Linked DNA regions of Mus musculus: region 2 is reported to be linked to region 1. The links are microRNA targets in miRTarBase. Many come from high-throughput screens and were not tested one by one. Region 1 holds a microRNA gene; the other region holds the end of a gene's coding sequence.

What was found. Region 1 holds the annotated microRNA mmu-miR-5099 (UUAGAUCGAUGUGGUGCUCC, at 1,746-1,765, shown strand). A microRNA usually pairs through its seed, bases 2 to 8, with sites in the 3' UTR of a target mRNA and lowers its output. Matches are read on the target gene's strand: a 7mer-m8 pairs with bases 2 to 8, a 7mer-A1 pairs with bases 2 to 7 and ends in A, and an 8mer does both.
Region 2: the mRNA of Ooep is a reported target of mmu-miR-5099. Seed matches in the 3' UTR shown: 7mer-m8 at 1,140-1,146.

The regions. Positions count from the first base shown.
Region 1 is chr12:36,814,505-36,819,035 of GRCm38, forward strand. Mir5099 (microRNA 5099) reads left to right here and starts at 1,701; the gene lies at 1,701-1,774.
Region 2 is chr9:78,374,093-78,378,092 of GRCm38, reverse strand. It overlaps Ooep (oocyte expressed protein), which reads left to right. Exons shown (of 3, transcript NM_026480.3): 2 at 1-118; 3 at 402-1,190. The coding sequence ends at 538. Among named protein-coding and RNA genes, the nearest start is that of Ooep, 2.5 kb to the left of the region's middle. RefSeq lists an enhancer at 2,683-4,000 and cis regulatory regions at 1,614-4,000, 1,614-4,000.

The sequences.
Region 1 (4,531 bases):
TTCTGACCTGAATGAGTTCCAGTCCTGACTTCCTTGGTGATCAACAGCAGTATGGAAGTGTAAGCTGAATAAACCCTTTCCTCCCCAACTTGCTTCTTGGTCATGATGCTTGTACAGGAATAGAAACCCTGACTAAGACAATAAATAGTTTAGAGTGATTTGGTTGTTTTTTTTTTTTTTTTTTTTTTTTTTTTTTTTTTGTGTGTGTGTGTGTGTTTTATGTACTAAGCGTCACTTGCAGAGCCTCATCATCCAGCCTACCGCTGAGCCATGCATCTAGCTCTAATTGATTTCTTTCTCTACTTTTTAAAATGTTTTATTGTTTTGAGAATTTAGATATGAATAAATACATTACACTTGTTTCCACTCTGCCATCTTCTGTCTCCAACTTCTTCCTCCTCCATCTTTCTTTTTAACTCCTCCATCTGTCCCACTTAGATTAATGTATATGTATGTGTATATTAATATATGTGATCTATATTGCATGCATATATATATATATATATATGTATATATATATATATATATATATATATATATATATATATATATATGTGTACACACACACCACTGAGTCCATTTCATGGTGCTGATTTGTACATATATTTATGCTGCCAACTTGGGTTAGGTAAGTTATCAGTGTCTTGTTCCAGGAAAACTGATTTTCCATCCCTCAGTGGTCTTTGGAGTTGGGACTCATCATCATTATGGGCCAGGCCTTGTGAAATTTTCCTCATCCCTATTGACCTTTTGACAGATGTGCTCTTCATGCAAAGCTTGTTTAGACAACTAAATTACTGAGATTTCATGGTTGTAGCATTTCTTTTGTGGCTGGCTACAAGGCACTTTCAGCAGGCACATGATGTGGCAGTGAATTGACTAAACCACTTTGGCTCCTGGTGAGTCTTGTGACCTGCATCTGACCAAGAGCTCTCTAGATTCGTGAATGAAAGACACACACACACATACACACACACACACACACAGGTGGGTGCACATGTGTGCGACAGCTAATTTTGATGTGGCTGGGCACTTCTAAACCTACCGCTGCTAGCAAACACTCCTCTCAAGTATTCCAGAGTTAACATCTTTTAAAATTTATATGTCATCTCTGATACCCCAGACTCAATTGGGTAAGTGGCTCCTAGGGCTACTTTTCCTGATCCTTACATGCCAGTGGGCCTTTAAGTTCCATCTTTGTGCTTCCCCATTATGGTGAATCTCTGCCTCTTCCTCCTCTTCCTCCTCCTCCTCCTTCTCCTCCCCCTTCCCCCTCCTCCTCCTCCTCCTCCTCCTCCTCCTCCTCCTCCTCCTCCTTCTGTTTCTCAGTCCTTTGCCCACTGCAATCTAAATGTCCCTCCCCATCTCCTTGCCAAGCTATTGGTTGTACAGCAATTCTTTATTTACCAGTCAAAGCCAGCTGGGTGCAGAGACGCTGAGGTCTGTAAGTGAGGCTCTGGGAGCCAAATTGAGACAAAGCATTAGAACTACTTCCCAACAACATGGCTCTTAAATCTTTCCACATCTCTCTTCCACCATGTTTCCTGTGCCATTAGATGTGGGGTTGTATTGTATTGTAGCTGTACTAATTTCCCTGAGAACATTTACCAGTTGTGGATCTCTCTAGTAACCCCTATCTATTGTAAGAAGACATTCCATAACAGGATGTGGCACTTTATGTGACTTTTGAATAAATGTTTAGAATTCAGTTAGAAATTACATTGATTTAAGAAGTGGTAATGGGCTTAGATCGATGTGGTGCTCCTGAGTTCTCTTCAGGCCAGGGCCTAAGCTGCGCCAGGCGAGGGACAGACATTCATGGCGAATGGAGGCCGCTCTTCTCGTTCTGCCCTCGGGCCCCTCGTCTCTCCACCCCATCCTTATACCGGTGGTGTATGGAAGGCAGGGGTGCGGCTCTCTGGCCCAAGCTCTTACCCGAGCGCGCACTTTTCTCAGTGGTTCGCGTGGTCCTTGTGGACGAGTCAGGCGCCTGGTTGCCCTTACGTGTTTCACTTCGGTCGTGTCTCGCTTGACCATGTTCTCCGAGCCGGGGAATGTGGCTGGTGGTGTTGCATATTCTTCCTGTCTGGTGTGTGTGTGCACGCGCTGTTTCTTGCAATCCTCGAGGTGCTCCTTGGGGGTGGGGGTGGGGGAAAGAAGTAGTAATGGCAGCTTTTCCTTTAGTGTCTATAATTACTACAACTCTAGTAGATGGCCAGATTTAAAGTGCCAGGTATGAATTTCCTCCCATTGATCAGGTCTGAAGTTCAATCAGAGAACTCTTGATTACATAAAAGATGTAAGTGTCACTGCTGCTCCATTGGGCACATCTTGTCAAGCTGGTCCTTGTTGTGGCTAGCATTCTTGACAGCTGGTAGGACTACTGATTGCATTTCTTCCTTGTTATCTTATATAACACCTTCTAACCGAGGAGAGCTAGATGCCAGGGGTACTTGCAGGTCAGTACCAGCTACTTGTTTTGAAGTTCTGTGTCTGAAGTATGTGTTGTCTTCAGCAATTGAATCTTGCTTTCAAATTCTGGGTATTAGCTCAGGTCAATTGTAATGATTATACTGTTTTGAAGGTTGCCTTATCTTTCTTGATAAACAACGTGAAGGGAGAGTTTCCTTGCTTGGGACTTGGGTATTTGTTAGAGAATATCTGGCTTCAAAGGGAACATTATGACTCAGTATGAATTTTAATGTAGTGAGAGTCAGGAATGCCATCTTTCTTATTTTTGGGGGGGTGTTTTATCTGGATTGATGAATATAATTTATTGAAAATGAGTATTATGATTCCTATCATTTTCCAACAGACTGATGATTTAGGTGGTTGTGGTATCAAAGTTAAATGTTAAAAATGGGCTCTGCAACATGGGCCTTCACTGACAAAATCTTCATAGCCATAGCCCCTGCTGAGTACCCAGGCTATCTGCTTCAGAGACTAGCACTGGGATGGAAAATGGTATTATTTCCTGGGGTGAGAGGGCAACTAATTGTCTCATGATTGGTTGATGTCATTGTATCACTGCCATTATGGAAAGGACAGTGTTTTGTTCTTACTGGAACAATACTCTAGATATGGAATTTTTTTTTACATACACATAATTGCCTTTTTTAAGTTTAATTTTTATTTTTATATTATTATTATATCATTTCTCCTTCCTTCCAAACCCTCTCTAGTGTTCCCTTATTATCTTTCAAATCCGTGCCTTCTTTTTCTTTAATTGTGCTAAATGCATAAATACAATCATCTTAGTTTATGTTACTTATGTGTATGATTTCAGGACTGACCATAACATATTGAATAAACATTTGGTTTGTTCTTTCAAGGGATGAGTATTTCACCAGCTCTTAGCAATTCTTAGTTGTTCATAGTTTTTTGAAACTTCCAAAAAACAAAACAAAACCACTACATAAAGCACTTCAACTGATCAAAATGTAGTGGTTTTGGAAGTTTCAAAAAACTATGAACAACTGATCTAAAATCCAAAACATTCCTGCAGCAAGGCTCAGGGATCATGAGTGAGAAGATCAGGGAGTTGCAGAAGATATTTCTATCAACTATAGCAATTGTGAACTTTCTGATTTCTTTATGAACTGTCAGGAATGTCAACATAGTATTGCTTCTGGACAAATGAAGTGCAGCAATGGGCCTCAGATTATACAAGTCTGACATATTGCCACACTGTGCTGAAGACACTAGTTGAGTTGAATGATAGGATGGTCTTTAAAGATACACATGTAGTAACGGTTAGGGTAAGATGATCGTATGTCATAGGGCCAGAGTATGATTTTTCCCAGAGAATGTATGTACTCTGTACCTGTGTCTCACTTGTGAACCTTGGTCTCCCATTACCAAGATAAATGGGTAGAAAGGGCAGCATCAATGCCCATTGTTGTCTCACGTGTCTCCTTAGCATCAAGTTCCTTCCTGATTCTAGCTCCATATGCTCTGCTCTTGTATTACTGGCAGTTCTATTGAACAGGAACTGAAGGTCACCACCGAGTCACTTTGTGTGGTTATGTGTTTAAATCAACAAAAAAAGTTCCTGTCCAGGCTGAAGTGATAGACCCTTGCTATTAAAGGGAAATTTGGCAAGTGCTGTACAAAGAATATAAGAAATAAAGAATGTGTCTGCTTTGTAGGAAATCTTTACAGTCTGATTTCATTTGGCTTGAAGTTTTCTCATGTTTTATTCCATTTTTCTTGAGCTAATGCTTTGTATGTATAACTCTTTGCTCCTCTTCCAGACTTGACTATACTCACTGATAAACATATAACTCAGTTATTAGGTTTCCACAAAAGCAAACTAAATGAGACATATCTGACTCCAGGCCATGGGTGTATAAGTTAAATGAGCCACCATAAGAGTGAAATTTTCTGACACCTGTTATTTTTAATCTGGAATTTAATGTTTTTCGTCAAAGTATTCTTGAGTAAACAATGCGTCTTATCAGTTGAAAGTCTATTTTGGGTAAGAATTAAGACATGGACAAGTCTCTTTAGTTATTTCATGCAACACTATATT
Region 2 (4,000 bases), not on the chromosome of region 1:
GTCAACTCTGGGAACCTAGCTGAAATCACCATCTTTGGACAACCCAGTGCACAGACGCGAATGAAAAATATTCTCTTGAACATGGCGGCCTGGCACAAAGAAAACGAACTCCAAAGAGGTAAGGGATTTTGACGACCCACCTGGGGAGTAAGCCGCGGGAGAGTCTCAGCTTCTCACAATTTCTTTCAGTTTCCAAACACCAGGAAACTACATTGTCCCTGGGTATCCCTTTCCAAAGCCCTTAAATGGCAGGAAGGTAGGGAAAGACCGACACACCAAGGTCCATTAACCCCCCCTGCTCAGCCATAGGCACCAGTCTTCCCAGATTCCAGGTCCAGAAGCCCTTCTCTTTAAAACTCTGCGCCCCTCCCGCCTGACTGTTGGTGTTGATCCTTTTCCAGCTGTGAAGGTGAAAGAAGTTGAAGAGTTCTTGAAAATTCGTGCCTCCTCAATCCTAAGCAAGTTAAGTAAGAAAGGGCTAAAACTGGCTGGCTTTCCGCTTCCGCTGGAGGGAAGAGAAACACAGATGGAGTCTTAAATCACTACACGTATTTTCTTACCCGCCTTCACGAGCACCTCCTGTTTATTTTTCTTTGCAAATAGCAATTTGTAGAACTATTCCAATATAAAAAATTTTTTTTGGTATGCTGTTGGTTTGATCACATACAGTAAAATTTATAAACACTTGAGTATTCAGTTGATGGTTCGGGGAGTATGTAGGTTGTATTCCTACGGTTTCTAACAACACTTCAGTCTGGCCCTCAAGAATGGCACAGTTGACTTAAAAGTGGGCCCTAACTCCTGTGTCAAGCAAGTTTTTTTTTTTTGTTTGTTTTGTTTTGTTTTTTCGAGACAGGGTTTCTCTGTGCAGCCCTGGCTGCCCGTGAACTCACTTTGTAGACCAGACTGGCCTCGAACTCAGAAATCCGCCTGCCTCTGCCTCCCGAGTGCTGGGATTAAAGACATGCACCACCATGCCTGGCCCAAGCAAATTATTTTAAGTTACCCAGTAGTTTGGGAAAAGGGCATCATTAAAATGTCAGCTCTTGATCCCTTTGTCCTTCCTTATTGAGACAGAATATCTATGTCGCCCCGACCGTCCTGGAGTCTCCTATTTAGACCAGGCTGGCCTTGAACTCCGATCTACCTGCTTCTGCCTCCCAAGTTCTGTGATAAAGGTGTGCTCCACCATTTCTGGCTACCCTTTTGTACTTTTTAACCTACTCCAGTTAAGGCAGTAGTCTCAACCTGGGATCAGAATATAATCCTGTATATCAGATATTTACATTACAATTCAGAAGAGTGGTCGAGTTATGAAGTAGCAAAGAAATGTACGATTGGAAATCAACACAACGCGAAATGTATTAAAGGGCCTAAGCATTAGAAAGATTGGGAACCATTGATTTATAGTGTGCAAGAATTCACTTGGGAGCTGGGCAGTGGTGGTGCAATGCCTTTGATCCCAGCACCTGAGGCAGAGGCAGGTGGATCTCTTGAATTTAAGGCCAGCCAGAATTCTGGAGAATCCTTGTACCAGGAATGGGGTTGGACAGGAGAATTCACTTTGGAAGGGCCTCAAAACAATGTCCTGGGCCCCTTCTCCAGTGATTCCCCGTGAGAGGATACATTAATTTGCAGCTCTAACATGCTCAGGATGCTGAAACATGACTTTGGGGCAATCATTTCTGCTCAAGGTTGCTAAGCTGTTACTATGCTTCCTGTTACCTGGGCCCCACCCCAGGAACTCCGGTTTTCTCACAGAAATTTGTCATACTTTTTTTTTTCTGGTGTGAACTTGATTTAAAAAAAGTCAATACCGTTTAAGCAGATTGATCATCATTAGCAGATTTATGAATAGGTTCATGCATAAAACTTAAAACTTTTTAGTAACTTCTGGACAAAATTCTATGTTTCTACCAGAATTTGTATTTATTAGCCTATACTTGAGCCCCCAAACTCAGGACCACAGGCTATGAGTAGCATATTTTCAGATAAAGCTTTGCTGTTTTTATTTATGTGTAAGGGTGGTTTTGCCTGTATCTATCTGTATGTCTGTATGTGCACCACGTGTGTGTCTGGTGCCTGCAGAGGCCAGAAGAGAGCATCAGATCCCTCCGCAACTATTGTTAGCTTCCATGTGGGTGTTGGGAATCAAACTTGGGTCCTTGGAAGAGCAACCCGATGCTCTTAATCACCAGGCCATGATTCCACTTCACAGATAGAACCGGCCTCTTTTTTTCCTTCCTCCCCCCCCCTCTCTCTGACAAAGGCTGTTTTTGGTTTTTGTCGCTCTCTTCAGAGACCCCAGACGAGGGAGGGCATCAGATCCCATTAACAGATGGTTGTGAACCACTCTGTGGTTGCTGGGAATTGAACTCGTGACCTCAGCTCTTAACCTCTGAGCCATCTCTCCAGCCCCAGAGCCTTTCAAAAGGGGCTAGAGTGGTGGCTCAGCAGATACAAGCACAAGTCTCAGAGGAAAAAGGGATGCAATGAATATAAAATTAAGTCATTTCATCACTATACCTGTGAACATGCACTCCTAAAGAAAATGTAAACAAAGGTGTGAACCTGGGGAAGATCATGTGATGACCAGAGTAGACCCAGACACTAAAGCAGTGACAATTCCATTTTGGACTTCTAACTCTAATTACAGGGACTCATTTCTGTTGTTTAAACTGTCTGGGTTATTTTGTTGCGATAGCCCAAAGAAGTTAACACATTTAACAGATCTGTGCTGGATTCTCTTATCCATTTGCCAATATTCTGTGCATGTGCACCCATACACACACACACACACACACACACACACACACACACACACACAGACTTGCAAGGAGAGTCCAGAGGTTAACTGATGTCTGCTTCAATCTCTGTACTTTTATGTTTTTGTCTGTTTGTGGTTTTCAAGAATAGCTTTCTTTGTGTAGCCTTGATTGTCCTGGAATCCTATCTTTAAATCTGTGTGGCCAGGGAACTCACCTGCCCCTGCCTCCTGGAGTGTTGGAATTAAAGGTATGGGTCTCACTCCTTAGGGAGTGGCCTTGGATGTTGGGAACTTGCTCTGTAAACCAGGCTGGCCTCAAGCTTTGAGATCTTCCTGCCTCTGTCTCCTAATCCTGAGAGTAAAGGAGGGGCCACCACACCATGCTCCATTGTAGTTTTTTGAGTCGGGGTCTTTTGCTGAACCTAGACCTCACCTATTAGGCTAATTAGTCCAGCTGGTAAGCACCAAGACGCCTCTATTCTCTGCTTTCTCAGCACTAGGGTTACATACAGGTGTGGCCTGGGTGCCTGGCTTTTTAATCAAACGCTGGAAAAATAAACCCAGTTCTGTTTTTGTAGCAAGTTCTATGCCTACTGGCTGCCCCCACCCCCACCTCCTTTGATTAGCCTCTCCCTCCCAGGTGCGGGGAGGAGGCTAGGAGATTGAAATGTACTCTGCCTGCAACTTGATAAATGGCAAAGAATGACCTTAAATTCCAGCTCCTCGGACCTCTACCTCCCCAGTTCTGGGATGAGGAGTGTGGCCCACCATTCCTGTTCTGCCCTGCGGATATTGAAAACAGGCAGAGTGCTCTGACATTCTTTTCTTCTCACTTAAGGGCCAATGTAAATTATGCATTAGCATTATGCCAAGCACCTAATCTGAGTGCTTGGGACCTAAGCAGTTGGCTCAGCAACGAGAGGGAGGTAATAGAACAGAAGCAACAACTCCATGATGCAGGCCTAGCTGTGCCTGCACTTTGTCTTACAACTGCTGTAAGGGGGTGGGGGCGCGGCGGGGGCAAGGGCTCAGCGCATCTCATGGCACCCATGGGGATGACTGAAGACAACCCTGGAGCCGTTTCCTTCCTCTCTATGGGCTCGGATACAGGTCTTCGTGCTTGGCTGGCAAGCTCTTCAGCTGCTGAGCCATCTTACCAGACCCTCTTTTTGTTTCTGAGCATGTGTAAAGATTTTATTTGACCAAAATAACCTGTAGTGGAGGAACTAGTAA